Linked DNA regions of Neodiprion lecontei. The protein of the gene in region 1 purifies or fractionates together with the protein of each later gene. This does not show direct contact. Links are inferred from orthologs where the notes say so. Each region holds a gene or a part of one and is shown on either strand. Other genes may lie near its edges.

Region 1 (10,277 bases):
CATAAGAAATGATAGTTTCGCCACTACAAAAGTAACACTGAAGAATACTGTTGACCAGATACTCATAGATGACCCAGCTCAGATTATGGAAGTAAATGAGAGTTTTGATTTGAATTCAGGGATCCAAGGAAGCTTGTGCTCTCAATGCAAATTCACGAATAGACTTAATAGCTATATTGAACGCGCTATTAATAGTTCGGTTGAAATGGAAAAGGAGTTTCAAGAATACTTTGCCATGTCCGAAACTAGCAGCTTCTCACCTGCGATGAATGGAACCGTAGACTTATCCGAATCTGTGTGTGATGATAAAACTAAAAGTGTAACAGGGTATATTTCCCCGAATATTTTAAATTCATCATATCATAGTATTGGCTTACAGAATTCTTCATTTACACCTAATTTGTTATTAGAATCAAATCGACCACAAATTTCTGAACAGTATTTAAATGAAACGGAAAAGACAGCACTGGAACTTGATCAATCCTTGACCAAAAATTCTGTTGAGATTTGCAATGGGAAGTCAAGCAAGGACCAATTTACATGTAAACGATCTCTTACTATGTCATGGAATTCTGAAACTTGTTTGGTAGAGTTTATTTCATCAAAGAAGACTCATTTCCACAGTTTAAGAAAGTTTAAATCCGAAGATAACATCCTAGTGAAGCTTACAGGAAGTAAGAGTGATAGCAGAAACAAATTTTCTGTTCTACCTGACAAATTTATGTCAAATTTGATGGAAGGGTTTGGACTGATACCCTTCATCAAAGGCAACCATTCTCCAGAGATTATAAAATGTAACGAAAATGTCAGTAATGCTCTTACTTTGAGGCAGTCAAAAAACAAATGTCTTGATGACTGGAATAACGATAAAGTAAACACAGAAAATTCACAACAGTTTTCTGTGCTACTTCAAACTGACTTTGAAAAATTAGAAGACATAAAACAAGGAGAGATGGGTATGGACCTTGAACAAACGTACAGGACAAGTAAAAGCATTTCGTTTGAAAGTAGTGATATTTTCTTAGAACAATTAACACCATCACAAAATCTGAATGTACAAGATACTCCCACAGAAGATAGCAGTTCTACATTTAATCAAAGTACAATTGAAGAAATGTATTTCATGGATTCTAATGATAATATTAACTGCTCAAGCACTAATGAAAAATTCCAAATATTGCCTCAGCACGAGACTAATGGAAATGATTCACTCCAATGCACACTCAATGACAAAATGATAAGAGATACAAGCACTACAGAAAAGTTGGTTGATTTGAATCTCCAACAACTTGCCAACTCAACTACTCAACCGATTCACGAAGAATCAAAAAAGAACAATATCACTGTTAACAGAGACTCAGGCAGCATCGTTGCCACGATTGATTCAAAAACTGGATATAATGAGATGCAAAGTTCATCCACCGATACTACACTAAAATCCGACGCACATTTGTCTGTCATACAGTTGAAGGTTATGCGGAACGAAGAAGAAACGACAGTGAAGGCCATCAATCTTGTTAATCCTATCGATGATCCAGGGAAAAGTTCTGAATCGCTAAGGGATCAACAGCTCGGAAATGAAAAGGGTTTGGAAATTTCAAGTAACTCCTTCTTAGAACTTTCGATAGAATCACAGATGGATACCATACGAGAAAAAGACACACTTAGAAAGAAAGAAATCGTTCCTATTCATATAAATAATAGTATCACGAGTTTCACAACTTCACAGAATTTGAGTGTGGAAAATGTAGAAACAAGAAACAGGCAACTAGCTGTTTTAAATACAGTTAATATTAATGCTGATGGAGAAACAATAAATTTACCAGATAATGTGAATACAGAATTTATGATTAGGGAAAAGTTGAATAGGGTTGAAAAGGAAGATGAAAGGACATTAGAAAAGAGGATGCTTTCCAACTTGACCAACAATCTCTTTCCAAATGTTGATTCGCCAAAAGATGAGAATATTGGGAATACAAACCGTCAGACATCTCCAGGCGATTTTAGTTTGGATATGCTGTCTGAGTCACAACTGCAAACAATTGAAACAGAAGCTTATGTAAAAGCAGAAAAAATAGATGTCCAATTAAAGAAAGCAACAACCGAAGGCGGTGTAAACAAACAGAATATATTCTTCAAACCTGAACAGACAGGTATTATTACTACGGATAAGAACGATCTGGTACTGCCCAATTGGGTGACAAATCGTGCTCCTGAGCCAGACTATGATAAAATGAGATGTGCCTTTCAGAACAGACGACAGTACGTGAAAATACTACTTCAGGAAATACTCAGACTTAGGTGCGCAGCATATTTTAGTTTTCCTACATATCATGCAGACAAAGATCGATAGTTCAATAAATTACGTTGTCACATTGATCATGATTGTAAACTCATCGCATCATTATCATTTTCAGTACGATAGTTTCCAAGGTAGGGGCTGTGCTTCGTGCAGAGCATGCAGAAAACAACTTGAAGCCACATGTGGACAGTGTTGATGAAGCAACTATTTGTGAGACTCTTAGTAATACTAAAACCAATGTTCAGACTTCTAATAATGCAGTGAAAGACCTTAAAAATAAGAACATATTTTACGTACCGCCGTCGAATATGCCATTTCCAAATATCCCTCAAGATTTTCCTAACAACATAAATAATCCGCCTAATAGTACTGGAGCTTCCATGAACACGGTAACACTTGAAAATAGTGTATACACTGATATAACAACAGATCTTAAACGTGAAAAATTTTATGTACCTACGACAAATAAATCGAAGTACGATACCCTTCCAGCTGTGAATCAACAAATGGATACAAAGTTTAAGGATGGTCAAATTACTGAAGCATTTGTGCGTCACAATGCCTCGAATATGTTTGGCTCCCTGAAGCAAATTTCGAATAATCATAAAACTTATAAACCAGATGTCAGGAGTATATGGCACTCCTCTGGCCAAGAAAGTGGTTCCATTCCGGAAATATCGTTCAGCAGAAACAAGGTTCCGAAAAACAATCAAACAGTTCGACAACAAATTGCTGCAGGATATGAAATGCCACAGTCAAATTTAAATGCTTCAATTTTTAGCAATAATATGGTAGCCAAAAATGTTGAAGAAGGAAAAAGTAACATATGTGACTTGGATCATTCAAAACTGGCTAATAAAAACACAATTTTTTACGTACCCGATGAAGGGTCATCAGTGTCAGGTGATTACGTTGGATTAGGCAGTATAAAAAATGATCCAAGTCGCTCTTATAAGTTTTCAATGCCATCGAAATCGCAAACTAGATCAAATGAAAATTCAAAACTATTGGTCAATGATATATTAGCCATGAACACACAAAAAGCACAATCTAACAGAAAAAATCTAGAAAATTTGCAGCTCACTGTTAAAAACGACATTTTTTATTCACCTGATGAATCATCAGTGTCAAACAATACATTATTTACAAGTAAATTCGCAGAATCAAGTGGTACAAAAAGCGACCAAAATTTTTTTTATTATGCAAACTTTCCAATGCCTTCTTCATCCCATCCAAGACCAGATCAACACCTTATGTGTAATGTGGTAATCTCAAACAAGTTGAAGAGAAAAAGTAACATTCATGATGCGAACAATGCAAAGCGTGCTCGTGAAAATACCACTTTTTATTCGCCGGAGAAATTGTCAATACCGTCAAAAGATTTATTCTCAACAAGTGATTACATGGAAATACGCGATACAACAAATCCGAGCATTTCTTCACGTAATTGTTCACTGCCTTCATCCCACGTGAAACTAGGGAGACCACTACGACTGTTGAATAATACTGCAGTTTTTTACAACGGTAATAAAGATCAGGAAACTGGTTTCAGAAAACTATATCGCCATTGATTGTTCTGCGGCATTTCATCAGAATGTTCATATACCCTCAAAGTCATCTTTCTGAAACAGTACAGCACATGCAATTGATTAGATAAATGATTGTCACAAATTGTAACGAAATATGTTGAAAAATGTTGTGTATTAGAACATTTTCTTAGATTTTGCAACACAAAGTGTAACAAACGACATATTATTACTTGCTCCAGAACATGACACCTACCATTTCATTGTATTCCAATACATGTTTCCTTATTGCTGAAGTATCAACCCATGTCACAAAGTCTTCCAAGTTTCTGGAAATCGAAAATTATTACGATTAGCATTTTAGGGATGTCAATTTCAGATAGTTAGCAAAATTTAAAAATTGGTAGATACTTGTACCAGTTAATTTTATTTGGTCTTATTATTTACAGATTAAAACTAAATTTACTGTTTAATATCAAACTGAATAATTACTTTACGTCTCTCAAATGTCATATAGAATAAGGATTATTGTCTAGTTCTAAGATCTTTAATGTGAACCAGGAAAAACTGTAAAGTATTCACAGAAATATCTTTCAAGTTACTCTGGTAAGTTATAACTGATATAGAATATGTATTATTTATTAACTCTACCGTCAACTACCCTAAGTAAATTAGAAAAGTATATCATTATATTTTTAAAAATAATGCCAATTTGTTTTGATTAAATTAGGATATTAATGATTTAAAAAAAAGTATATACCTTGTTACAAGAAATGCTGGGTCCTTAATGACTTCAGGTCCAACTCGTACATGAGCTTGTTCGATTAGCTTTGTCGCCATTTTAATGGTTTCACTCATTTTATTACGAACCATAACGACAGGTAATCTTCTTCTACAAAAACAGCTGGCTGTAACTTTCTCGCACAGAGATAAATCCCACTTAGTGGAAATGAGACCCATCATATACAATTTCTCCAGCAACATGGCACTTTGTTCTATTCTGAATGGATGTTCAGCATCTACTTCCTTGATCTTTCTAGCCAGTTCTCGAATTTGTCGTGATAATTTGTTGTATCTGAAATAAAGTAGTTGTTATACGTACACATAAGTTAAAAATTAGAAACATAACGAACAGTTTTAAGGAAACAGTAGCTTAGGTGATGTCAATATCTCTGAGAGAAATGTATCGAATATTTCGATCATGTGGAGGTTATACTGAAAATGACAACTCACTTCGTATAATCTTCTCTTTTTTGGATTCGGTATTTTTTCAAAATTTTAATCTCGTGCAAGTTATTGTCTACCTCCCAAGAAATAAAGTCTACTTTTTTCAGTAACTTCTTCTCGTGATGTTTCAATTTTCGAACCATCTTTCGAATTCAAAAATGTCACGACTTACACGAACACGTGTGTTTTGTCGACACGCGAGTCTGGTTTTCAGCGGAAAGCAATGGGTGCGTTCGACTTGGGCGCTTACGGCTTCAGGCTTCAGCACATATATAAATATACATATAAATGCTATAGGATATGGCGCTCACAGCGCTCAATGCAGAGTGCTCAATGTGGCTCAAAGCGACCCAGTCGAACGTACCCAAAGTCGGCCTGTACAACCTCAGTACTCTCTGCTCAGTAGAAGCGTGCGTGGACGGTGGTGGACGGTGGGAACTGCGGAACGAAACCGTCACGGTAAACAACCATGGCGGATCCGTTGAGTTTGCTTCGCCAATTCAACGTAAATAAAAAGGAAATTATTGAACGTGAAAACCAAATTATATTTGGTGAATTCTCATGGCCAAAAAATGTCAAGACAAACTATTTGACATACGGGTAAGGATCTCATCCAAAAAATCTCATTATATTTCTTATACTACTTTCCAATCTGGGCAAACTACAACCAAAAATCAGGCTCGTCGTTTTGCTTTTTTTGGCACAAAGATTATTTAAGTTTTCATATTGCATTCATGTGTAGCTGACTGAAATCAGTGTTATACAATCCTTATTCTTCACCGATATTTTAAGAACTGGTTACTTCAGTGGCGGATGAAATTCAACGCGGGCCATTTCTCAACAAATTTGTACACGTATAATAAGGTGAAGTCTTTTCGTGTGATGCAAACACGCTCTGATACATTGAGTAAATGTAGCAAACAAACGCAGTAAAGTTTACGTGCTTCCTCCTATTTATTATGAAGATTTTCTTTTTGTACATCGACGTAGCTGTCGCTGTATTTTGGAATTTACGAACGAATCAAATGTGAAATTTCTACGGAGATACGATAAGATTTTCTGCTGTTCACAAATTTCAAACTTGATTTCTACTAGCATTCAGATATCATACATTGTTGATGAATGTTCAAGTGTAATCCACGATGTGAAAAAAGAGGTATCATTATACCTTCTCACATACTTTTTCTCCAGCGAATCGCAAAATAAACAAAACATGTTTATTAAATTTATTATTGCATAATCATAGATTTGAACACTATGAAATGTAAAATGAAGCTGTAAACAATTACCTACATTTATAATTATCCAAAACAATTGCGCAATGTTTATATCTCGATTTCACTCGCATCAAACGAGTCAGCGAGACATGAAACTTCAGTGACATAACGAAACGCAAATAAGAAATATAAGATAATAGCTTGATCGTTGTCAAAATGTGAAATGTCATGAATTTAATTTTTTTTATATTACAAAGTGGTAAGATTTCAATTGCATGTTAGTTTTTGGGTTTGTCTACGAATCGACATATATTTTGTAGTCCTTGTAATTGTTTGGTTGTGAAATTTTCAGTTTTCTGCTTACATTTTGCAGATCCGGAAAGGAAGGCACACCTAAGGAGTACTATACTCTTGAATGCCTTTTGTTTTTATTGAAACATGTTCAACTCACGCATCCAGTGTATGTGCGGCAAGCCGCCGCAGAGAATATACCTGTGGTGCGCCGTCCGGACAGAAAAGATCTGCTGGCTTACCTTAATGGTGAAACAGCCACCTCAGCCTCCATAGATAAATCAGCTCCATTGGAAATACCAACACAAGTAAAACGAACTGCCGAAGATGGGCTAGATGCGGGACTTTCTAAGAAGCCACGTTTTGAAGAGACACATGTTCAGAAGGTGAAGGAACAATTGGCAGCGCGACTGGATGCGCCAAAAGAAGCTTCTGTCACAGTCGACAATATCAAATCTCTTTCAGAGGCAATGTCTGTTGAGAAAATTGCTGCAATCAAAGCTAAACGTTTGGCAAAAAAGCGTACTACAATCAAGGAAAATGACGACATTGGTATGGGTTCGGATTTGCGTGTTATACTAGACATGGATGTCGATGATACTAAGGACATCGTATCTAGAGAAAGACAGTGGAGAACTAGAGCAACGATACTTCAAAGTGCAGGTAAAATGTTTGCCAAGAACATATTTGCCATACTTCAAAGTATCAAAGCCAGAGAAGAAGGCAGGATGCAAAAAGGGCCTGCAATACCCGCACCAATGGTTACGCCAAGGTCTACACCTATGCGCCCATTGCCACAACCAGCAGTTTACAATCGTTATGACCAGGAAAGATTTATTCGTCAAAAAGAAGAAACTGAGGGATTTAAAATCGACACAATGGGGACTTATCATGGTATGACGCTAAAATCTGTGACTGAAGGTACCAATCCCGCAATAAGAAAGCCCACAGTCAATCCTGCTGCTACACCAAGCTCCGGATTACTTCCTGCATCTGCTGCAAAACTGACTCCACAACAAGCAGCTCAGAATAAAAGACCAAGTAGAACACCCATAATAATTATACCCAGTGCAACTACATCTCTTATAACGATGTACAATGCCAAAGAAGTATTGCAAGAATTGAAGTATGTTAGCAACGAGGAAAAGCGAGCACAAGGTGGTAAAAGGGAGAATGAGATTCTTCTTCAGCGAAGAAAAGATGGTGGTCTCACTGTTCCTTATAGAGTTGTTGATAATCCCCAAAAGTTGACAAATGCAGACTGGGAGAGAGTCGTTGCGGTGTTTGTTATGGGTCCTGCATGGCAGTTCAAAGGTTGGCCTTACGACGGAAATCCTGTCGAGATATTTTCAAAAAGTAAGACAATTCAATATATCTACATTACTGGTCAATGTCACTTGGATACGTGACAGATCCTGTAGTTTTATTCTGTAATTAAGTTTTTGTCACCCAAACTTTTTTTCATTTGGTGGTTGGAGAATTCAAATAGTTTTTATATTATTGCTTTTCATAAAAATGCCTGATCAAGTTTTATATGTTTTTACTAATATGATTTCAGTTTGTGCCTTTCATTTGAAATACGATGAAATGAAGCTAGATGCAAATGTTGCCAAGTGGGCAGTAACTGTTGTGGAACTGAGTCGCACCAAGAGGCATTTAGATAGAGCAGCATTGATGGTCTTCTGGGAGCAATTGGACAAGTAAGATCAATTTATGTACAAAATAGCGAAGTTCATAACTTTTTGCGATTAAAGAATATCAATAATTCCGACGGTTATTGTTTTTTTTTTTTTTTTTTTATTTGCCTAATTTTTCTGTAAGGAAAAAAGCTGTCTTAGCATTCAGATCATTTTTACATTTATTTGAAATATGTTACAGCATGTGTGTTGTCAAACTTCCGTGTTCTTCCAAAGTTTTATTATTATTACTATTATTATTATTAATCCTATTCTATTGTCAAATATCAGCCAGCAATTTTCTCTAAAGTTGTATGTATGAGGACCAGTTTTACCAACTTTGTTTAAACATCGAACTTCACTTGCATAGTGGTTTAATTGACTTGACAGTTGAGCAGTGTAGTTTAGTAATAGATAATAGTTTGGAGGAATGAACGGATTAGAAAAGGCATAGAGCAGCTAACTTTTTTTCACCAACTTTTTGTATACCAAGAGAGAACTAGAAGTAGATCAAATTCCGAGCGTAAGATTTCTGGTCTCCAATAGGTAAAAAGACCTCTAAGCTGTTGACTTTCTAATTTATGATATACGGTGTCATAATGGTTTTATTTCTGTTTCAGGCATATGATCAAGAATAAACCACATCTGCGATTTTAATAACTGAACATGAATCGTGCTCTAAGCAGCTTGTAATATATAGATGACACAATCATCCACACAGCATACGCATGCACGTATATTAAGTTTGTATATCATGACTAATACGGTTTATAATCGTTAAAAAAAAGAGAATAGCATTATCAAGTGTAAATATTGGTATAAAAATGAATAAAATGAGTACATGAATATTATGTGGAAATATAGATTGAAAAAATGGAAATATTATATGTTTATAAATAGTACGGTTGTGTATAACGATAAATATTCAGTTATTTGCAGTGGTGATGATTTTTTTTATTCGGAAAAATTTTCTTTTCCATGATAAAACGTGAATGTTTTCATACTTCCGAATGGTTAGTTTCCGGCTAAGCATGTGGTGTGAGGTCTCAGCCCGTGGTCTCAATATGTCTGCCATTTTTTCCTCCTATCCCCCTCCGGCCAGCCGCTGTGTTTTCGTTTACGCGTGGCTTACGCCTATGTATGTTATGTAGGTACGTATCTACATGCCTACTTTACAAGATTTATTGGATCGCAGTCTGCCTTCGGAGGAAGATCGTGGTGCGTGATTACGGGATTTGTGCGGCGAAGAAATCAATCTGTTCAACGGAAATCAAAGATCGCGTGGGTGCTGTAACGTAATATAGGAGTGTTTATCCTGTAGTTGAGTAACAAGTCCGTTGAAGCGTGAAGTTTCAATTCCTTGAAAATATGTCAGGCCAGTAGTGAATCATTTCTGCCGTTCCAGTCAACGTATTTTATCAATCCAGCCGTCGTCAGTTGCAGCGAGACAGGTGAACCACCGTACTTTAATCATTTCTTTATTTCTCCTTCGTCATGACCAGTGGAACGATTCTTGACACGACAGCGAGCCGAGTAACAACCCGAGGTCTTACATCTGTATATATTGAGTGTGCTGCGTAAAGGATTAGACCGAATCTGTAGGTTAGAAAATCCTTCGTCGCACGATCTGTCAGAGCTGCCTCGTTCTCTTTATATGTTATACTAATCGGTCGGTATATACATTTGATTTTTCTATAACGTGTAAAATTGTGACCGGTGATCCTGCGCGGGTTCAACGATATTTGCATGAATATATTTGCGGTGAGATTGCTTGATTCTTCGCTTAGTGATGTAGTGCCGGGATTCGTAGCTGTGAAAATTACCGTATAAATTAATCCACGTACAGGGTGTTGCAACTTGGACCGTTAACGATTATCGCAATTATTATCCCAAGTTTAAACATACACTTTGAAACAGTTTAATTGCTGTTACCGTGGGTCATTGTACCACCCTCTCTTAACGCGCCAGCCCCTCCCCTCCTCCTCCCACGAGTTGTACCCTGTGCATACCTATAGGTATGATATTTATACACACAGAG
Region 2 (10,967 bases), on another chromosome or scaffold:
TAGGGGCGTCGGGATAATACTGCGTTCAGACGAAAACTGGATGTTTAGTCAAGTGAATTTTACTTAGTTCAAGAATAGAGCTCAAATTTTGCAACCAAAATTAAAACATGTAGTCGAGATTTTCTAATACTCAGACTCTAACTCTCGCGCTGCCTGACTAAAACAGATAATTTCGAGTATGTTTCAATTGACGTCCAAACGAGACAGTATCACACGCAATCCGTGCTCCTTCGTAAATATTTGTATTCATATACAGTATGGAGTGAATTAAAGTATAGTTGAAAGTTCTGTAACATTCTTCTAGTTCCTTTTATTTTCATCAACGACCGTCACGTTAGTTACTGCTTGTCGTTATCAGATAAATTTCAAGGGCTTCGATAAAATAGTTACAGGCCTTTGATTATTTGTCCAACAATATAGTTACGGACCTGAGCTATCTCTAGTATATACAAATTAATTGATTAATAATTAGTTAATAAACTCGATTCGATAGAGTTTTAATAACAATAAAAGATGGGTTACATCAGAGATCATTTGGTCGATTAGAATTGGCGTTGGTATGAGGATTGGTGTGGTGATGGGGCCTGTGGAGGGTGCTGCTTATCGTCAGAGGACCTACCATGTGGCCAGGTCTCGCCCACGTGTAGACATACCCGTCCTGACATGCTGTCACGAAACAATCTTCTCTAAACACTAATTCAGTCAGCCTCTCGTGGGCCAGTTTCTTGCACACCAATGGTTCTAGAACAGGGCACTCGTCGAAACGTGGACACCAGGCGGTCCCTATCAATCTCATAGGATCGTCCATCGTACCGCCGGACTTTTTATTCGTACCTAGACCCCCGCCAACACTGTTTGAATTACTAGAATTTGAGTTACTACCAGATTTCTCCCCACTATTATTTTGTATCGCGTTGTTGCTCGTTCCACTTCCTCTCATCGTTAGGCTAAAGTTTCTTTTGTGATTGTCACCTTTCCTCTCCCCGAAACCCAAGCCCGCCAGCCTTTGAGTCAATGAATTCACGGTAGACACTGCCGCATTGGTGCTAATACTATTATTACTACTTTCATTGTTACCACTCGCGCTCTCTTTAAAACCTATATTATTCAAATTGTTATGCTTGGCATTGTTGGAATTATGATTGGACGTTGCTCCATTCCCGCTTGTAAATGTTCCCGATGACGAAAATGTCCCCGAACCTGCGGTCGACGTCCTTTGCTTGGCACTGACTGGCGGCCGAAGAACGTCTTCGGTTATATCCCATAGACAGAGTTGAGTGTCCTGGGAGACACTTCCCAGCCTGTAGCAGGTTCCTCCGGACACCCTTAGCTCCGACCCGCACGAATTTCTATTGGAATGAATACCTTGGGAGACTGTCGACAATCTGTTGGGCTTCTCATGAAAGTGATTATTGTGATTAGTGTGAGGCATGGATTCGTCGTCGGAACCACTGAAATCTGGATCGTGATCCCCGTAGGACGTTGTGTAGGGATCGAACGCGACCACACTGACCCAACTGTGATGACCCTGGCCCCTGGCCACGACTCTTTTCTCATTGAAGCTCCATATCGTCACCAGATCATCTTCTCCTCCTACTACGACGTATCGTCCATCCGGTGACCAACAGACGCACAAGAATCCTCCAAAGTAGCTCCTCGCCGATCCCACTAGTTCCATCGTATCGTAGTGAAAAACTCGTAGGAAGCCATCCTGGGATACCACAGCCAAATTAGAGCCACAGGGACTGAATGCAAATTCATTTATACAGCATCCCTCAGCGCCGATCACCCATCGGTACAGGGGGTTTCTTGTGGACTTTGTTTTGCATGTGTGAATCGCATAGCCATCCCCTGATTTGAACGGCTGATAATGAGGCGGTGTCGTTCCACAAAGCAGCTCTTCGTTGTACAGGTACAGTTGGCCAGAGCTATGCGAAACCAGGAATAGATTGCTCGATCCCGGAACCCATTTGATGCAGGTCACTTTACTCTTGTCGATTAGCCTCTGAAATTACAAACATCAGTTGCTGATTATTCTTTGTCGCGTTTATCTTTCAACTAATGTCAACATCTTCCCAGTAAATTAAATAACTCGAGTCCTTGCCATATCTATTCGTCAAAGGGTTTTACAACTGGTAGAGAATAACAACATAGCTAATAAATACGAATAGATTACAGCTTTAATATACGCAGAGATCTTAGTATCTTGGCGCATTGTCAGTGATCGGAGAGATAAGCGGAGTATTGCATAACACAGTATGTAATGCCTGTTTAATTATTTCATCAAGTTATAGTTGCGTTACAACAGTACTGCCAACCTTGAATGATGTAGGGTTACGCGGAGCCATCTGTGGCAGATAATAAAGCAAAAAAAACTCTCACTTGTCGCGACAGATAGCATATTACGTGTCTGTTGCTAATTGCCTGGTTATCACGTGCCGGCAAAATAACGGTGCTGTATCTCAGTCATTCAGCAATCAGCAATAAGCCTGACAAAGAGCCCTTAGCTAGCCTTTACTCGTAGAATGTGCCTAGCTTTGGCTGCCCAGTTATTGAAATGAATATTGCTCATCAGGATAGGATGGATTTTTGCTTTTGATTTGAATTGATCTGTTATGCATACCTCTTCATTGTAAAGTTTGCTAAGCTCCTTTTTAATTGGATCTATGAGCTGAATCTGTCCTGTGGAAAATCCGACGAGCAGTGGCGCGCTGTCTGCAGTGGCTGTAGTTTGGTTGAAGTTATGGCAGGTTGGATTTGTTCCTTTGTAGAGCTTTTTGTCAACAGGTTTGTTGAGATCCACAGCCTGAAACAGTTGCTATTATACTTTGAGATAGATTTTGAATGAGAATTATTCAGAAAACGGTTCCTAAGCTCTTATAAAATGAATTTGTATTTCAGAACCAAGCAATCGTAGCTGTGTGCCAAGATTAGGAAACCTGACAAAAGTTTGCATGTTTCTATTAGTGTTATCATTGATCAATTTTTTCACCAGCATAACACAGGCCAACAAAGCATAGGATGAACTAAAAGTGAACGTAAATGTAAATGTAACATAGATAAAGTCGAAGTGAAGTAGAAATGCGAAGAATATGACGAGGTTGGAGAGTTGTGGTGGTGGTGGTTGCGAAGATGGAGTCGGAACGACGAGGCGGAGGGGGGAGGGGGGCTGTTTGAGGTTATGTATCGTTAAGTTAGCGCCGAAAGAGTCGCAGGGATAATAGGGCAGGTTTAACGAGGTGGCAGAAGAGGAGGTACCTTCTTGACGCCACGGTAAACGTATACGTATAATTCTTTGCCAAAGTTGAAGCACATGCGGTCGCCGAGGCCCTGGGCTCCCGTGGGATCGGCTGGATCGGGCAATGTGACGAAGGACACCCTGACCGAGGCGCTGCCCTGGCTGTTGGTGTAGCCCACCCTGTTAGGTCGGGAGTACTCCGAGAGGGTCATCAGTTTGTACGTTCCTTCTCGCGTGACAAATTGTGTTTTCAAGTCGTCCTTCCCCCCTCCATCGAGCTGCACCGCCATCTTACCACTAGAGAAACGACGGTGGAGTTCATGAGAATCGAGGAAATGGGTGTTTCCTTTCCTATTTTAGTTAACCGTCGATTGATCCGCGATTATACCAATCCCGGCTCTTCGATCGAACGACGACGAGAGTGTGGTTACTGTTTTCTTAACAACACCACCACCACCACCATCACCATCACCACCACCACCATGCAATATCGCGGAATCGCCGAGTCCCGAGTACAAGATCCGAACCCGCAGCGAAATTGTCTGCGAGCTGATCGTCGCGGCTCGCTCCAGTGTTGTTGGTGCGCGCGCACACCCCAGCCGACCGACACTCTGCCAACACCGGGCAATCCTACATAATATCGCTCTGCAACCGGATATTTTCTCAACAGATGGTTGAATTACTAATTGATTTAATCGCTCCTTCCTTCTTCCTGTCACACATGTTGACGACCGTTTAACCGTCCCTCGTCGCGTCAACGAGCAGCCGCTGTCGCTCGAACGATACTGATCGTACCACTCGCCCGTTTCGTAATGACCGACCACCTCCTTCTGGCCGCATCCTAGTCGACAGGAATATCGCAGCTGCTCGGAAAAAACTGTTTCGTCCGATTCATCAATCGACAAGACCAGCTCCGTCAATAACTTTTACAAGGATCATTCTCCGTGAAATTCTCGAATCTTTCCTCGCTTCGCGGAGATCGCTGTGCATTCGAGGAGATGCCGCAACGTATACGCTGTGTCAATTTCGTTTTCAAATAAGGCGACGCTCCCCGCTCTTTGTCGTCTGCTATGTTTGGTATCCATTGGTGCCAACCTTCTCCGCCGCCTCGTTCGCAGTGCTGCTGTCTCAACGGAACCTAACCTGAAAACCATGTGCTTGCCAATGCAAGCGTTCAGTTTTTGGTTGTCGATAGGCCGTGTTCATTTGAATTGAATTATTGCTGGCGATATTGAAAGTGGGACGGTTGACAATGGTTCGTGGGAAAAAACCGACTCGCGGAGGGAATCGACGAAAATTTGATAAACGTTTCGAGCATAAGCCTAAGGTGAAAAAATGTAAATTCAATATCAGGGAAGCCTCGTATGTCAAGGAACGTGATGCCAAGAACGAAGAGATTGAAAATAGGAGGCGAAAATTAGAGGCGGAGAGGAGCAAACAGTTGGAACTTGAGGCTGAGAGTTCGGAAGAGGAACGAGAGGATCCGTTAAAAATGTTGCTTTCAGCTATCGGTGGTGCTGAAACTAAGAGGCAACCTGTCATTGACTCCGATTGTGAGTCAGAGTCTGAATCCGAGCCTGACGACGAAGCCGAGGTGAAATCTTCCGTCGAAGAAGAAAATCTTTTCAAGACGAAAAACTCGGGCGTAGATCACGTCACTTCCGAGGCTAGCGACGCTGAACATGTCGAGATAAATTTGAGGGAGGAAGAGGAAGAGGATCAAGAGACTGCGCGCGAAGATGCTGGGAAGCTCAGAGATCCGTTTTCAATTCATCTGCTCAACGATTTGGACGACGACTTGTACAAATCCGTTTCCCTAACTCCTCAGAAGGCTGCCACCAGTAGATCGAAGTGGCCCGCTCTCGGAACCGTTGTGTTTCAAATCCCAGAGGTTGAGGATGAGTTTTCTAAGCCTGTTAGAAAACGACCCAAGGTCTCGATATTGGAAGACAAGCAATTTGCCAGACACGGAGCTGTTCCGCAAGTCATAGACGACGTTGACTGGGACAAGTTATTCATCAAGTCACAAATTCAAGGCAATATCTCCAAGGCAAACTACGATAATATTAAAGACAGTCTGGCGTCTAAGCCTAGTCCCTTAACCCCGTTGCAAAAAGAATTGTTCACCATAATTAACAATTATCAAGATCTGTGCTACAACGAGCGAAATTTCGCCAATGGCGAACAAATTAGATTTCTTTATTGCTTGCACGCGGTTAATCACGTTTTAAAAACCAGAACCAAGGTCTTGCATCACAATGCGAAACTGACAAAAGCCAAGAAGTCAGGGATAGCGGATACACCGGATGAATATCGGGATCAGGGTTTGGTCAGGCCGAAGGTTCTTATAATAGTCCCTTTCAGGCACTCGTGTTTAAAAATCGTTCGGCTACTGATCGCGATTTTAATCGGGGAAGACAAGGGTGGGTCCGTGGTGAACAAACTTCGATTCATGGAGGATTTCAGTGGCAACGAACTCGCTATGCCGAGGAAAAATCCCAAGCCCGAAGATTACGAGCAAACGTTCGAAGGAAACGTCGACGATACCTTTAAAATCGGCATATCCGTGACGAAGAAAACGTTGAAACTCTATTCGGACTTTTACTCGTCCGACATAATCATTTCGTCCGTCCTGGGACTCCGAATGCTCGTCGGCGCCGAGGGCGAACCCGACAGAGATTACGATTTCCTTGCTTCCGTGGAGTTGCTCGTGATGGACCAGACGGAGGTGTTCGCGATGCAGAATTGGGACCACCTGCTGCACGTCCTCGACCACGCACATCTGCAGCCAAAGGAATCCCACGGGACGGATTTCTCTCGCGTTCGCAGCTGGGTGGTGAACGGCTGGTCCAAGTTCTATCGGCAGACGCTGATATTCTCCGGCGTTCCGTTACCCGAGATACACGCGATATTCAACAAGCGGTGCTTCAACTACGCGGGAAAAGCGAGGGTCGTGAACCCGGTGACTTCCGGGACCGTTTGCCAAACGGTGATTCAAGTGCCCCAGGTGTTTCACAGGTTCGATTCCCGAGACCACGGCCACGACATAGAGGCCAGGTTCACTTTCTTCGTCTCGAAGATTCTCCCCCAGTACAAGGACAGCATAATGAATCACACCGTTATCTACGTGCCGTCCTATTTTGACTTCGTGAAAGTTCGCAACTACTTCAAGAAAGAGGAGCTCAGCTTCGTTCAGATCTGCGAGTATTCGAAGGATGCAAAGGTGGCCAGGGCGAGGGACATGTTTTACCACAGCGACGCGCATTTCCTCATTTACTCCGAGCGATTCCATTTCTTCCGTAGGATACGCCTCAAGGGTATAAGGCACCTCATATTCTTCGCACCGCCGACGTTCCCTCACTTTTACAGCGAAATTTGCAACCTAATGCAGAAAGCGAATCAGAATCCGAACGCAGGCTCGGACAGCAACATGACCGTAACGTTGGTATACTCGAAATACGACGCGTTGAAGCTCGCAGGTATCGTCGGCACCGAAAGGACGACGAAAATGATTAGTTCGGGGCAAGACGTCCACATGTTTATGACCGGCGACTGACGACGAGTGAAAAAGTATTTGTCCGGTATCGAAATTGTCCCTGCTGCATTTGTAAAATCATATTATGTATGTAGTACGTATACATTTGGTAATAAACGTTCCACAGTTGGCGATAAAATCCGATGAAAAAGCTGGGTGACTGATTTTTAGCTTACGTCGACGAGCACCAGATTTGAACCGAAATCTCCAACGAAAGTAAATAAATGATTAATCTGATTCCAGAAATTCACTGAAAATAATAATACTCCTGTTAGACTGAAGAAAGGGGATTTGATGACTTATTGTTAGGTCTTCGAATTATTTGCGGTGCCGGTTTAGCCACATTTTTTTACATTCCAGTGTTTATTGAAAAATGAGAGTCTTGATCTTTCCAATTGCTAAAAGGAGTCGATCGGTTCACGTAGCGGATAAAAAAAAAAAACGTGGCGCGGGCTCAAAGCACGTGCGTAAGAAAATGGCAAGTGATATGTGTATAGAGCAATCAGGAGAAATTATTTAGTATGCGAAATCTTTAGAAATCCTGCGATTTTGCAATATTGTACCGAAAATTATGTATCTAGGTAATACCTGAAACAGCAGTATTATGTTTATTGATTAAAAATAAAATTTATCGAACATACCTATGGGTTTGTGAACAAAATATAAGACAAACAGTATTATACTTATAGTACATTATATAATATATATTGTGTGTGGTATATTTTTGAAGGAATAAATTAGTTAGTTATAAATTAGGGATTTCCCCACACGTGATCTTCAAGATTTAGTAAGTATACGTGGGCACTCTTCAAAAATAATGTCCGGAAGTCTTGGTTCAACGATAGGTTCAGCGTCTGGGCGCGCATAACAAACTCCATAATTTATTGCGAACTGCAATTCCGGACGCCTGACTTCATTCCTTATTCTGCGACAAACAAAAATATATATTTATCCGCCGATAAACCGAGCGAAGATATGAAATTTAAAAAAAACGAAGCAATAATTCTACGATACAAAAACAATGACAAACTTATTATTTTTACCTGCATAACTCATTGATCACGTAATTCGCATCGGATGGATTATTTCCTATATAAACGTTGAGATACTTTAATATATTCAACCTCGTGCAAACCTTCAATAGGTTTTCCATCGCTACGACCAAATCGAAGAGTTCTATTCCTCTTTCGTAAAGCGATACATGAACCATTTCGAGCTTTACATTGCAGGCAAGAGCGTCGAACAATTCAAGCGATTGAAACGAATCAGGTTCTTCACCCGGCATAACCGGGTACATCGCTTCGGTTACGTCCTCTTCTTCGAGTGAGAATTGCTTTATTTTACTACACTGCCTTAGCATTATCGAAAGATTTGTTACGTAGGTTGTGGTGTTGCTCGCTTGTGCCAGACCGACTAACACTACTATCTCCAGGTTTGGACATTGTCTTCCGATACTGAGAAAAATTATTCCATCTATGGTGGGTACGAAGGCCAAACGTAAGGCTGTGAGATGCCGCCATTCTGGAATGTAGTTCAGAGCACTCAAGTCCCAAAAGTCGGGGTCCGGCTCTTCGGGGCTGAAATAATGTAAATATTGTTCGATTCGTAATCCGTATTAGACACGCGTAAGGTATCGGAGATTGGTTCTCACACTCTCGAATAATAAATCGTTAAATCCCGAAGTAGCGGAGTGTTTTCCACTAGAAGTTTAAAAGAACCATCCGTGTTGCCCATCGGGTCATCCACAAACCCGAAAGGTACGCCAGGAACTCGCCTGATGAGAGATCTTCTCAAGGGTAGCCTACTTCTGTGCTCTGCTTCTCTAATCTCTGCAAGCATAATGAGTTTTAATATATACATGTATCATCGCTACTTGGATGAATTGATGATCTAACTCCGCGATTTAACGTCGATTGCGGAAATCCAGTTAGCACAAACACATGTACGTGGTTCATGAATATGAAATTCCATTTTACCGTTTGCTGTTATCATTCGAATTAAAATAAGATCTGTCAAGCTTGGGAATGCCGATACCACTAAATGCGCATCGCAATACGGATCAATCTGATGGTCCAAGTACAAAAAAGTTATCGGATACTCGGGATCTTTCAGCAGCCGCTGAAACATCGATGACATTAATTAACGTTGTAACTCGATTTAATTGGTAACTTATTTTTCGCTTGTCTTTAAAGTATCTAATTGTACGTTACGTAACAAGGGAATAAAGTTGGAGATTAAGAGAGATGAAGAAAAGCAGAGAAAACTGAAAAATTGTTATGATCTCATATTTCCCGCAGATTGGGGGAGAACAGTTGAGAGTGAATAATAGGCTACTCTCATCCCGCTATTCAGGTAAAAAAAAAAAAAAAAAAAATTAAACATCACTGTTGAGCGGGGAATAAATACTACGACTATTAACGTACCGGGACATTGCGTGAATGCGCAACATAAGGACTCCTAATTACAGGCAATCCGGGGTATGCGTACACACGTCGATTGTCAGAGTGGTTCCTATGGTGCACATCCACGTAATGTCCCGTCATACGATTCTACCTTTGCCTCTTTAATGTTCAATATGAATGGCCAGTTACTGGCGTTTGCTGATGCACCTAAGCCTGTTCTTCGTAAACAACAGAATTCCAACGGCACGTCTTCGTGGTTCATTCTTATCACTTGTTCCAACAAGGATTCCGAAAGCACAGACCATACAATCGGAATAACATCAGGAAAATGGTGATACGGAGCCTCGTGTGGTATTCGCGTTCTTACTAGTACAGGACAAATTTCGACATTTTTTTCTGAAATCACAAGTTGAAACTTATGTTCGCGAGTCGATTGTGATATTTCAAGAATTATGCTTCCTTTCTTTCCAACCAGATGCAATCATCTTTTTAGAGTCAGCACCAGTCAGCACGTAGCGTCTGTGAGTGACATTTGATGTATCGTAAAAAATTCACGTCCTGCTTGAAAATTTCCAGTACACAAATTGTAAAATTTGAAAGTCTTCGATTGACAAAAGCCTTATTTGCAAAAACTGTGAATCATCAGAACATTCCCGTGAATGTCAAATTATATATCAATATTTGGACATGGAAGGGGTCACTAAAAGCGACAATGACAGTCCTTTTCTTCAGACTGATTGTTATAAAAATAAAAAAATAATGTTTATGAAAACATACCAAGATAGAATCCTTTGAATGCAACAGCACTACCAATCGCTTGAAAATCTGTCCACTGATGTAAATCCGGAATCATATGAAAAATATTACTCTTCATTGTGGTACACGCTTTCCATCCCTGAGCTTGAACAATTCTAAGCTTCTGCAGTCTATTTGGGCGCTCCTCAGCCCACGGAATATCTAGTATGTCGTCACGCTCCTGTCGTGTCAGTTCGACTATACGGAACTCCACTAGCTCACTACAGCTGCATCGCACAGCAGGAAGTAAATTCGTGTTATAAACGCTCAATCTTACTCCTAAATAATTGAGCCTGCCTAACGGTCCTCCTATAACATCAATGGTCCTGTAAACATCTTCATCCGGCTCGGGCCAATCCACAACCAGCCTTCTAAGTTGTAGCAGGGGCGCAAGAAAAGATGCCAAAATTCCAACATTCTCGAATATAATTCCGTGTATATTAACATCGACAAGATTCAATGCCCTGCCAACCGTCCTGTTCAACATCCTTCCCGGCTTCATGCACGTTGCGTTACTTATATTCACTTTACGGATATGCGGCATCCTGTATTCACTGACAAAATATGTCTTGATTTCTTTTAATTGTGTCACCCATCCATTTGGGGTAAAATCCAAATTCCTGTATACATTGAAATTCGAGTCGAAATTAGGATGGGGAAAAATGGACGAGATCCATCACTGCACAAAGTTTTGGTCATGCGTTGTAAAAGGTGAATGGTTTCACATAAAAAAAAAAAAAAATTTAAATATTTAAAAAAAATAAGAAACATAATCAGAATCGCACAAACTCTGCCAACTCTCCCAACTTGTGAAAACGTTTCAGCACCATTCCGGTCCTCTATCACCAGATGCGGCAGTAGGTACCTACTGAATCTTGTTGTAACTACTTTTTTCTTAGAAACGAACAAACGAGGTACTGCGAACGCAAATAATTAATTTTGTCACAGGCACACTACAGTAGACTGACCTCAATACGTCCGGATCACGGTGTATAAT
Region 3 (11,615 bases), about 9.9 Mb from region 1:
ACTGAAACATCAGCACGTCGAGAGTGCGCAACTTTTTATATACTGTTTGCAAAATCGACGTGCAAAAAAACGTGCCCAATTTCAATTATTAATTTACGCGCATGAAGCTGCGTCAAATTCTTGTTATCAATTTAAGCGCATGAAGCTGCGTCGAATTCTCGTTCTTAATTTACGCGCATGAAGCTGCGTTCAATTCTCGTGATTAATCTACACGCAATAAGGCGCGACAGATTAAACTGTAAAAAAATTTGTATTTTCTGGGACTTGTCCCAAAAATTCTGTAGAAACCCAATCCGCATCTGCATCTTTTAGATACCAGATACATTGCTATGCGGATTGTTGTTCTCAGATTACAAATCAAATTGAAATTGGGAGGGAGGTTGGAGGGCATGCATTATTGTGTGGCGTGACGGTCGGCGGTCCTCTTCGACGCGAAGTCTTCGAGCTCAGCATCTCTCCCCATCTAGCGTACCACGGAACGCGATAAATGGTCCAGAGATGCGTTTTGCCCATTCAGACGATCACAGAGATTAATCGAATGGAATAACGATCGGTGATGACTAAATAATCGAATTGGATAACGATTGAAAAATCGTTGCAAAGTGACAAGAAGTGGGAAATTTAATCTCGTTAATACTCAAATGTTTACAAATGGTCGACAGACTCGAATGTGGAGTCTTTTGGGAAAATGTCTGTGATCGTTTGACGCTGTGGATTACAAAAGTTAGTAGCATCACGGTACATCGCGACCTTCCTAACCTCGCCTGTTTCCCAACGAACCCACCCAACGGAAAAGAGAGATTCACACACTCATGCATAAACCCCGCGACGGATCCCAAAACGTCCACCTACCTACCCGGTTACCTATATTCGACCTAAACGATTCTCCATTTTTTCCAACACACATCATTCTTCATCATTTGCGCCGTGGTCACTGACTTACATTTTCATTGGTTACCTGTTGGGAGCAAAATGTTTTTGTATCGTAGTCTGCCTACTCAGAATACAGTATCGCGGTTGTATCCCGCCAACTCTAATATTGCATTTGTTATTTTAGTAAATGTTGGCAGACTATCGGTACATTAACCTTTGGTAAAATTGATTAAAACATCCTGAATTCTAATTAGCATTTTTCTAAGCGAGCTAAGCCTGCAGTTGATCAATACTTGTTGGCTGTTAAAAGATTGAAAATGATATATAAGATGCAAATTGATTTTGAAATTTAACAATAATGTGGATAATTGAATACTTTTGAAACCTCAGGTGAACCCACCACTTAAACGGCATCATCGGTAAATTCAAACGTAGATTATTACATCAGTTACGAAACACAATTCGATCTCGCGAGTGCCGAGTAAGCGATGGTTGCCTGTCGCGATGCTCATTCCACTTTTAGCAACGTGTAAAATTTCTAATTTGAAGTAAGCTACGCTAAATTGCATTGCGAGAAATGATGATTCCACTGAAAGTCAAGCACGTTGCGATTGTGAATGAGCCTATCCATGTAGCTAAGAAATCGAAGATTTGTGTGACAATTGTTACCGCCACGCCACGTGACAAAGGAATCCCAGGGAAATACCCGTAACCTAACACATGCAAACTCACCAACGTTGCCGAGAAATGGAAAAGTTACTCGGAAGTCTCTGCTTAAATCTGTGAAAAACAAAACACGACACTTGAATTAATTTAGGAAATTGGCTTTTCAGTTTTCAAATTAATTATTACTGATGTCTTGTTTCATATTTACGAATTCGTTCGGCTTTAAATGACCACCGTGAACTATCAATCAATAATTAAAATAAGTATTGTTACCTCGACTGTGGGCTGTTCCACACTTTCACATGCAGTAGTTGCAGCATCTCAGGTTTATCGGTGAAGCGACGCACTTTTCACATCATTCACATCTTCACTAGTCTCTTATAGTTCAAAAGTCCGCACCGCAATAACACTCGGATTCTACACTCAGTTTTTGTGCTACAGCTGTCTGTTTGAACCGAGTGAATAATCTTGCTAACAATGCAATAGCGCATTTGCCGAAAATAAGCCATAAAAATATTAAAATTGACACACGACGCACAGAGACAAAACACACATCACTAAAATCTGAAGTTACACAACAAACAATGAAAACTCGGGACACAAAATTCACCTTCAATGTTCGCAGGATGTTTTTACTTTAGTAACTCGGTTTTTTGTTAGGTTATACACGGCTCCTCGTGTATTGTTCACAGACAAGTATGTTGGAAATGCACTTGAACCACCGGTCGGAATGTTGAACTGATGCCGAGGACGGATGATCTCAGTTCGATTGCTCGGAGACGACTGATTCTGCTCGGCGCTCCCGCCCTCTCTCCTGATCTTCCCGTGGAGTGGGGGTAGTTGCACCCGCCACCTAGCTGTTTTTCCTCTCCCGTTCCCCAACCCGCGCACGACGATCACGGAAGAGCGACAGAGAGGGGGGGAGAATTATTATCTTCTATCCTTTAGAGAATCGATTCAAATCTGTTCACGGGACGCTCACGCCGTTGCTTACGCTCTATTTTATATATCCATAGTCTCACGGCCGGGTGTAAACACCACGCAAGCTACGCGCAACGCGATCTAATGTTTACAAGACTGCCGTAACGTGCGCCGTCAGGCGAAGTATCACTTCTCCGACCACTTACGGCGTTGACTGAAGATATGTAAAGACTGATAGTCTTATGGGACTTTTCGTAATCAAAAATGAACGAGATAAACACATCGTGAAGCGGCGTCCTTTGCGTAGTATTTACGCGAGTCTCCTTTTCTTAGGACGCCCAGCAGCACAGACGCTCGATCGCAATCTCACCCCACTCACTATCCTTGGACCGGTAAACACACCGGCTTGCAACCCGCCGCATGCACATTTTTCCACACAATTATGTAATACAATGTAGCAGTGTCGGACATATTTTAGTTTCAAACTAAAAATCACAATTGACAGCACTCATTTTTAATTACGCTACTAAAATTAAATTTTTCACAAAAATTCTCAATTCGAGTTTTTGAATTGAGAAATTGAAAGTAATTGCAATAATACGAATTTGCTCATTGAAGAAGATGAATTAATTCTCAATTAAATTATTCCAATTATCGAAATAAAGAACTGATTCTTTATTCATCGTTTCGAATCACGAGAGTGAAAACAAATTCCCAGTATAATTTTTCGAATTAAGAAATAAAAAATAATTCCCACTTCAATTTCTTGGAGTACAAAAAAATAATCACAAATCTAATTTTATGAATCAAGAAATAAAAAACAATTCAGAATTGATACTTTACTTCTTCATACAAGTAGATACTGGCTTGCCTATCAACGCTAATCTGTATTTTCTATGTAAAAATGAATTTTATCCCGTAAAAGATATAAATTTATCAATAAATAAATAAACAAATGAATTCATAATTCAATTCGAGTTTTAGGCTGATACCCCTATACATATAATAATAAAAATCCACGTCGCGCACTTTCTAACTCTAAATATTCCAAAAAAATATTTTCCATTGACAAGGATGATTATGGTTTGGGACAAAGTTATCTGCATGTTCAATTATAAATACGCGCAAGGAAATTTTCGAGTTATCTTCTAGCTATACTACCATCGATTACCGGTTTCGGTACTCTCTTCATTGTAGGTGGCTACAAATCAAGTATCTCTTTGATCAACCTTTTCAACATTTTTAACTCCACCTTTTGGAAACGTAACAATTATATAGTCAATTCTCACTTCTTAAAATGAAATAAATGTGCAGTGGTGCAAGGTTTAACTATACGTGCTTCAACTTCCTTTGATGCGGAATAGCAGTAGATTATAAGTATGAGTATCTTTTGATAACGGCAGTACGTATAGCCGACAGGATAAAAATTGACTTTACGAATAATGTTGCGTTGGTAACAGGATTTAATGATTTGAAAGTCATCGGATCATTACCCTTGAAAACCACTTATTGAAAAACAACCGTTGATATTTCAATAATGTTATTTATGGCATTCAGAACATTTCAAAATTTGCTCTGAAAGAAAGAGATATTCCCAATTTTTTTAGCGCTTCAAAGAACTACGAATTGACAATAATCAATATTTAGCATTTCAACAATTGAGAAAAAAAATATGGTTTGATAAGTCAATATTATACAGAAGATAAAATAAATTTTTTGTTTCGTCACATTTCTAAAAAGGTGTATGACTGAAAGACAATTTTAAAACCTCATCAGAATTTAAAATAAATCCGCAAATATTTTATTCTTCATTCCACTTAATTTGCAATGAATCTCATGATAGATTCATTTCCATTATTAATTTTTATATTTATTCAAGAACTTGCGGAATTTTTCTTAATTAAAACCCAATTATCGTTTACAAATTTTGGGAAAAACTCATAAAATAGGCTCATTCTTCTACATATCTTCAACGTGCTTCTAGCAAAGAAAAAAGTGTTTCAGAATTTTTCGGATATTTTCAAAACTTGAGATATCGAATTTCTTCAAATCGTAATCTTAAAAGTGCTCATCAAAGCAAACAAAAATTCTTTATAGAAACATTCTTCAAATGGTTGGAACTAAAAATAGAGCATTTCAATATTCTTCCAAAATACTACGTAAAAAACTTTGAAAAAATGAATTGAGCGTCTTAGAGATGATACTGTCGCCCGCAAAAGATTTGATGTATTCATGTAAATATAAATGATACACGTTCATGTCCTTGATTGACATTTATTTTTCCGTTGTATAATTTCGGCACACATATGTCTTGAACGGGATTTTCTCAACTTTGCAATTTCACCATGTCAACGGTATGTTATCAATGTTTTGCACACGATTGTTGTTGGTTATGAACTTCGTTTATGGGCGTGTTCAGTTGCTTGGTTGATAATACGGGAATCTGCTAATACCTCCAAACCGGCCAGACCCGACAAACTGTTACGAAAAATAACCCAGGGTTATCAGTCTTTGTATATCTTCAGTCAACGTATAAAGTCTGTGATTCGTCCCCTGTCCTGACCAATGCCCATAGTATGCATAGTGTGAATGCATGTGGCTAGCATTCTTAAAGGTTCGAATCGTAGTTCGAATGCCACATGGTTGTGACAATGTCTTTTAATTCAAAAACTATTGCAGTTTAAGTTATCTATTGTATAGAATTATTCACCGATCATGAAGAGCTCGAGGGTTTTCCACGACATCATCAACGTCGTAGAAGCAAACACCAAGAAAACTGAAAATTATTTGAGGTTAATTCTAATTCATTTCCAACAACCGTAGTTTTACAGGTCCAATAATTATTTCGACTGGAGTACGTTAAAATTGAATGAGGCTGCAGTTCTCAACGTTATTTTCAAGTTGTACTTCTACTTCTAGCAAAACCCGGTTTGTTTGAAATTCAGTGAACACTGAAACACCGTCGGCATACTCAGATTTTATAATCTGAAACTTTTCAAACTCATTTTAAAGTTGTAAAACGATTTTTCTTTTAACGTTGCGTTACTTATCCATTACTAACTTCAGTCCCATGAAATTGAAGTAGATGTAAAATATATTCATTTAGAAAGAAAATCTTCATCTTACGATTTTTATCAAATAATTTATGCAGCCAGTGATTACCTTTCATTGTTCGGCTCAATTAACACCGATAATTTTCATCTTTGTAGCATACAGGCAGGTGCATCGTTGGAATTCCGTCACACGATAAAATCCCTTTATGATTTTACTAAGGAAGAATCTGGTCGCATGACGGAGGCGTTGCCAGAGCTAATCACAGAGGGTTTTGATACTGAGCAAATATGGCAACAGCTAGAACTCCAGAATGAAGGAGAATTGCCTCATATTCTGACAGGAGTCTCTAGATCGTTGATTGCGGGTAAGAGACTGAAACTACCTGTCAAGCTAACGAGGAGTGATGAACAACAAAGCAATGATAAATCAGGCCTCGATCAATCTTTGGATGGCGAACAGGTATCTTCCTACGATTCAGACCTAAGTGACGGCGACTTAAGTAATTTAGACATAGAAGGACTGGGGAAGCAGATGAGGAAGAAGAAATCGAAAAGAGTGGCCAAAAGAAAAACACCGCCCTCGATAGTAGATGATAAATTCTTCAAACTCCAAGAATTGGATGAGTACCTCACGAAAGAAGATAAAAGAGAAATGCAAAAAGGGAAGTCGAATGAAGAAGACAGTGATGATGCCGATGAGGAGTCTGTCGACTTATTTGAATATGTTTCTGATAATGGAAGCGAAGACAACGAAACTGACCCAAGACTAGTAAAGTTTAAAGATTTCTTTGATCAACCACAGAGCAACGATGAATCAAACTCTGAGACTGAGAGCAATCATTTTAATGAAGAATCTGAGAACGATACCAACCTATCTGTAGATGAAGAAGAAACAACAGAACCTCATAAGAAACGCGTTAAATTCAGTGTCAATGATCAATCGGCTTCAAGTAGTTCAGAGGAAGATGAATCTAAAAAGGAAGGAACTACAGAGATAAAATCCAGCCTAGAAACACGTCAAGAAAGACTGCGAAGAAAAATAGAGGAATTGGAAGAAGCAGCAATTTCAGAAAAACCTTGGCAATTAAAGGGTGAAGTTGATGCTGCATCTAGGCCACAGGATTCACTGCTGCAGGAGCACGTTGAGTTTGACATAACTTCCAGACCAGCTCCTGTGATCACTGAAGAAACAACATTGAAGTTAGAGGATATAATAAAGCAGAGAATAAAAGACAAAGCTTGGGACGATGTTGAGAAGAAATTTAAACCTGTTGAAACCCCAATGGAATATAAAAAAAAGCTGGTGTTAGACCAGGAGAAGAGCAAACTTAGTCTGGCACAGATTTATGAAAATGAATACTTGAAACAAAAGGAAGCGTTGAACCCTGACAACGAGGAACGAGAAACTGAGGAACCTAAAGAACACATTGAAATTCGTAATATGATGCATTCTTTGTTCAGCAAACTTGACGCTCTTTCCAATTTTCATTACACTCCAAAATTGGTAAGCCATCAGTTTCTCTTGATGCAGCATCTGTTAATTCTAGTTAGATCCGAAATGAGACAGATTAGAATTCACAAATTCATAATGTATCGATAATGGTTTTCGCATTTTATTTTAGGCCAGGCCTGACGTCAAAATCGTTAGCAACCTTCCTGCTGTAACGATGGAGGAAGTAGCTCCGATAGCCACAAGTGATGCAACTTTATTGGCACCAGAAGAAATAAAAGGTAAACCATATAATACAGCAATCAGTATCTATCTGAATACAGAAAAAGTTCGCTATTACAAATTATTCAATTCCGTTTCATTACAGCAAAATCGCGTGGCGACCTGATCGGCAGAGCCGAGAGAACTGAGACGGACATGAAACGTGAAAGGCGTCAAAAGAAGTTGAATCAACGAGACAGAGAGAAAGCTAAAGAAAAGCGGGAAAAGATTGTTGGGAAATTGAAACCTGGTCTTGGAAATAAGTACAGTAAGGAAAAAGCAGCAAAGATGATTGACAGTTTGAGTAAGGAGCGTAATATTTCAAAGATAGATGAAACGAGTGGAAAGACGGCAAAGTCTTCCACAGCATTCTTTGATCAGCTTCAGGATCAAGTCAATTTTCATATAAAATCGAAAGACGGCAATGTGCGGAAGAAGAAAGACAAGAAGGCATTATCCGCGGTGAAATTAAAACTCTGAACTTGTATAGTCGATAATTAAAACAATTTCCTCTTCTACTATTTTTTTAAAGTACGTTAGTTACAATTAGAGGTATTCATCATTATTATTATTAATAAATGAAATTTAAAACACGAGTTTTCTCCGTATAGTATTCCCCATATATTAGTGAAAAAGTGTTTCCGTTTTCTCACGATTATGATATGCTATGGTTTTTTTTTTGTTTTTTAAAACTTTTTTTTGTTATTTCTCAATCTCTCTCTTGCTTTCAATCTAAAATATTGCTAAACATATACAAATGCAACAATTCACAAGTGATAGTCTTATTATAATTACAATTATTTAATTATGTGCTATGTTATTACTAATATCTAAGAAAAAATATTACTTAGAAAATTGATATCCATTAATGACATCATTTTGTAAATAACAAGCAGCTTCGAGTGAGTTATATAATTTTGTACATTGTCACGGTCGTGTCTTTGTCTAATATCTGTCATCAAAAACATTATAGTAATTGCACGGTTTACAAATATATGAAAAAACAATTTCATTAAGCTACTCCTTATCATATATATCTACGATGAAAGCTTGCAGTCGAAAAGTTTTAATTTCTTATTCGTAACTATTCTGAAAAGTTTGAAAAATATTTCAATATTTTTTTTGTCAACTCCTTGTAGTTTTCATTTTTTTCCTCTTCATTTTAAATAGTTTTCCACTTTTGCAATGAATTTCTCCAGAACACTGGCAAATAAGTATATGGAACATGGATCGATCAATGATTCAAAGTTGATCATAAAATGTACATAATTAAATATATTTAAAATACCATTCCAAGTAGAAATTGGAAATTCTGCGTATTAACTATCCTTATTTGACTTCGCTTAATTTTGTTAAATTTTATTTACTTTGTTTCTTTTCTAAATTGAAAGTATTAAGATCAGGAAGGATGGTAAGGGCTGAGTAAAAATATCAATAAAAGGGATTAATATCGAAGGTGGAAAAATACAATATCAATAATAGTTATATTAATTAGTTATTTTTCTACCACCAAGATTTCCCCTGCCCCCCTTCCTACTCGAAATTAGTATTGAACATATTGAGCTCCTCAAAACCAGGGGCTCCGCCTTGGTCCTGTAACATCTGTAACATGTCCGATAACTCCTGAGGCTGCGCTCCTGGACCTCCTTGCGAGGGGTGAGGACCCTGGCCTTGATTAGCGACCGGTGCACCCGCCTGTCCACCGTCCTGCTGTGCTTGATGCGGCCCTTGATGCTGCTGGCCTTGCCAGCCCCACATGCCTAAAATGATGATCAAATAAAAAAATCAATTGCTGGGGGGGTATACCTACGTATACGAGTAAACGGCTCAAAAAGCGGGGGAATTTCGAGAATTCAAATTTCTGCTATCGATTTTCAATTTGATCATGGTTTATGTAATTTAAAAGTATGTAGATCGAGATTCATTGAGGTCTTTTTTTTAATTATGATCTATTAACAGAAAGCATTGTTATTGATACTAAATTCAAACATTTCGCTCAGTGGTAGTTTTGGTACCTCAAATTTGGAGAGTTTTCGCGGCGAGTTTATCTTCTCTTCCGGAATCCAAAATTTTTTGTTCTCAACGGAACAAGAAACGTTTAAAGTTGGAATATAATTTTTCACAAAAAAAAATTTACCACTCTTTTTAAGTTTAGTTAACATAATAATATGATGATAGAAAGAAATAGGATTGTGGCGAAAAGAATAAACTGTCCAAGAATGTCAGCTCCAAGTTGAAGTAAATTGGTTGAGCCATTTTTGAGCTATCGTGAGGACCACAAAAGGTGTCAATGAGCGAAAGAGTTGACGTTATTGTCAATAACAATAGTTCCTAATAATTGATTCTAATAAAAATTGTATTTAAATGAAGCTCAACCTGCATACTCTTGAATAAAACGATCCCCAATCGAATTGAATGATTGATTGTCAAGATATAAATTCTTAGAATTCACTCACTTTTTTAGGCACCTACTGGTATAAGCCCTGTTAATCGAATAAATTTAATCATTAACCCTACCACACGTTGACTTACCCGGATTGTTCGGAACTGTTGTAACCGCGTGGTAAGACGCCGCAGGTGTTCGAGCTCCACTACTAAGCTGAGTATAAGTTGGACCACTTGGAGATCTCGACGGACTTAACTGGTGGTTATACTGGTAGCCTTCGGTGACAGGTTGTTGCTATAAAAGAATAGGGTGGCATTGAATGAGACAATTCCTGACAGGACCTGATGCGGAACAATAATTGCACCGTTGATATTTACCTGTCTGAGTGTCCAGGCTTGCTGAACGGGAGTCGGCGATGTGTTTGCCGGTTTTGGTATACGATTTAGAACCGAGGAGGAGGTGCTCTGCTGACCGGGGGATCCATAGGCTATTGGTGACTGGGTCGTTTCATATCCCTGGTAAACGTTTTGAGCACTGGATGGTCTTGCTTGTTGGGGTCCTGTAAGTAGGTGACCGAGATGAAGTGATAACTTGGTCAAAATTCGTTTGGCGACATTCAGGTTTTGCGGCACTTGACAAAGAATTTCATGACAGGTGGAAAATCAAGTTATAAGATACCATACCTGCAGTAGCAACTGTCGCAGGATGCTGCATCATTTGATGGGCTGGGTAAATAGCCTCTCTGGCAGGATGTCTGTGGACGCTGTAGTCAAGACTAGGTTGTCCATAACCAGAGACATTCTCTCCTTCGGTTTGTCCCTCACCACCAGGGTGCAAGGATTTGGCCGTTGTGTTCGTGCAGACTATGTACTCGACTTCATCCGTGTAAGGGTTGAGAAACGCAAAGGCGGACGTTCTGAGCCAAACCCAGTCCCGATTTTTCGCCCGAAATCGATACATCACCGACATAACTTGGCCCTTTAGTTTCAGTACTGTGATATAAGAAAAAACACGGTCAACAAAAAGTTTCGACCATTTTTTTCCTAAGTTTTATTTACCTTGCTCAAAGCTTTCCCTCATGTGCGTCAGGTCTTCAGGGTGAAAAAAATCGTAGCAGGGATGTCCGAGGAGCTCAGATGGCGTGTATCCCAGGATTCCACCGACCCTCTGATCGACAAAAGTGAATTTTCCTTCAGCTGAATGACGGGAGATGAATTCTGTAGTACAGAGAAATTCACCATTGGATGACAGTCAGTTTTAGCGATTGAAGTTTCCAACGATATCGAAGGTATTAATGTTGACACAATGAAATATTGAAAAAACAAATCTCTATTTCGCAACTCCAGAATGACTTTAAAGCAGTTTAGTTTGCAAAGCATGAAGATATCTGGCATTATTATGGCTTACTGCATATCTAACTATACTAAAGTTGGGAGATAACGATTTTTTCTAAAAATGCATCGTCATTTCGAAATGCATTGATAGTTTTGACCAGAAATGCCATCAGTATAAAACGGCTAAGAAATCGTTTAGATGGCCTGTAAGAATGTTGTATGGTATGCTGGATCAAGCTAGTGTAAATAGTTTCATTTCATGTAATTTGAATGAAAAAAACAGCCATACAAAGAAACAAATTTATCAAAGAACTATCATTAAAACTTGTAAAACCTTAGTTAGGAGACTGGTTATACCCACTCGACATCTCAAATTGCGAAATTCAATTGAGGATGTTTTAAAGCCTAGTGATATGCCAGAGGAATAGGATATCCAGCATGAATTGGCCGATAATAAGATAGCGAAAACCAAATGATGCAACTTGTGCCCTTCTTCTCCCGACCATAAAACGCGTTATAAATGCTTACAATACGATAAGCCTGTGTGGAAAGAGCACTTTGAAAAGATATGTTGTGAGAAAAAAAAGAGAACAGTTTCAACTGACCAATTCAAGCCAAACGATCTAAATGACTGAAGTTTTACCGAGTATTCCTCACCCAGTCCGTACTGA

Evidence for each region.
Region 2: the proteins of U3 small nucleolar ribonucleoprotein protein IMP3 (region 1) and U3 small nucleolar RNA-associated protein 25 homolog purify together in Homo sapiens (affinity purification with mass spectrometry; 3 studies listed by BioGRID and IntAct, with this or other methods). This does not show direct contact. The link is inferred for Neodiprion lecontei from reciprocal best matches to the Homo sapiens genes IMP3 and UTP25.
Region 3: the proteins of U3 small nucleolar ribonucleoprotein protein IMP3 (region 1) and U3 small nucleolar ribonucleoprotein protein MPP10 purify together in Homo sapiens (affinity purification with mass spectrometry; 4 studies listed by BioGRID and IntAct, with this or other methods). This does not show direct contact. The link is inferred for Neodiprion lecontei from reciprocal best matches to the Homo sapiens genes IMP3 and MPHOSPH10.

The regions. Positions count from the first base shown.
Region 1 is NC_060262.1:32,033,463-32,043,739, reverse strand, and holds U3 small nucleolar ribonucleoprotein protein IMP3, read right to left. Parts: upstream 5,320-10,277; 5' UTR 5,199-5,319; coding exon 5,062-5,198; intron 4,904-5,061; coding exon 4,589-4,903; exon of another isoform or gene 4,158-4,588; coding exon 4,085-4,157; exon of another isoform or gene 3,925-4,084; coding exon 3,901-3,924; 3' UTR 3,874-3,900; downstream 1-3,873. Other genes in the region: uncharacterized protein LOC124293362, read left to right, coding at 1,115-2,301, 2,418-3,873; parafibromin, read left to right, coding at 5,525-5,655, 6,646-7,919, 8,122-8,263, 8,860-8,896. UniProt on the Homo sapiens protein: Component of the 60-80S U3 small nucleolar ribonucleoprotein (U3 snoRNP). Required for the early cleavages during pre-18S ribosomal RNA processing. Part of the small subunit (SSU) processome, first precursor of the small eukaryotic ribosomal subunit.
Region 2 is NC_060266.1:559,606-570,572, reverse strand, and holds U3 small nucleolar RNA-associated protein 25 homolog, read left to right. Parts: upstream 1-4,200; 5' UTR 4,201-4,490; coding exon 4,491-6,794; 3' UTR 6,795-7,240; downstream 7,241-10,967. Other genes in the region: WD repeat-containing protein 20, read right to left, coding at 524-2,005, 2,624-2,818, 3,259-3,528; uncharacterized protein LOC107216915, read right to left, coding at 7,551-7,698, 7,817-8,350, 8,425-8,602, 8,750-8,891, 9,327-9,571, 9,953-10,590, 10,939-10,967. UniProt on the Homo sapiens protein: Component of the ribosomal small subunit processome for the biogenesis of ribosomes, functions in pre-ribosomal RNA (pre-rRNA) processing. Essential for embryonic development in part through the regulation of p53 pathway.
Region 3 is NC_060262.1:22,090,166-22,101,780, forward strand, and holds U3 small nucleolar ribonucleoprotein protein MPP10, read left to right. Parts: upstream 1-5,018; 5' UTR 5,019-5,175; coding exon 5,176-5,252; intron 5,253-5,669; coding exon 5,670-7,017; intron 7,018-7,135; coding exon 7,136-7,244; intron 7,245-7,330; coding exon 7,331-7,704; 3' UTR 7,705-8,315; downstream 8,316-11,615. Other genes in the region: aryl hydrocarbon receptor nuclear translocator homolog, read right to left, coding at 8,758-8,984, 9,757-9,904, 9,988-10,169, 10,294-10,602, 10,669-10,827. UniProt on the Homo sapiens protein: Component of the 60-80S U3 small nucleolar ribonucleoprotein (U3 snoRNP). Required for the early cleavages during pre-18S ribosomal RNA processing. Part of the small subunit (SSU) processome, first precursor of the small eukaryotic ribosomal subunit.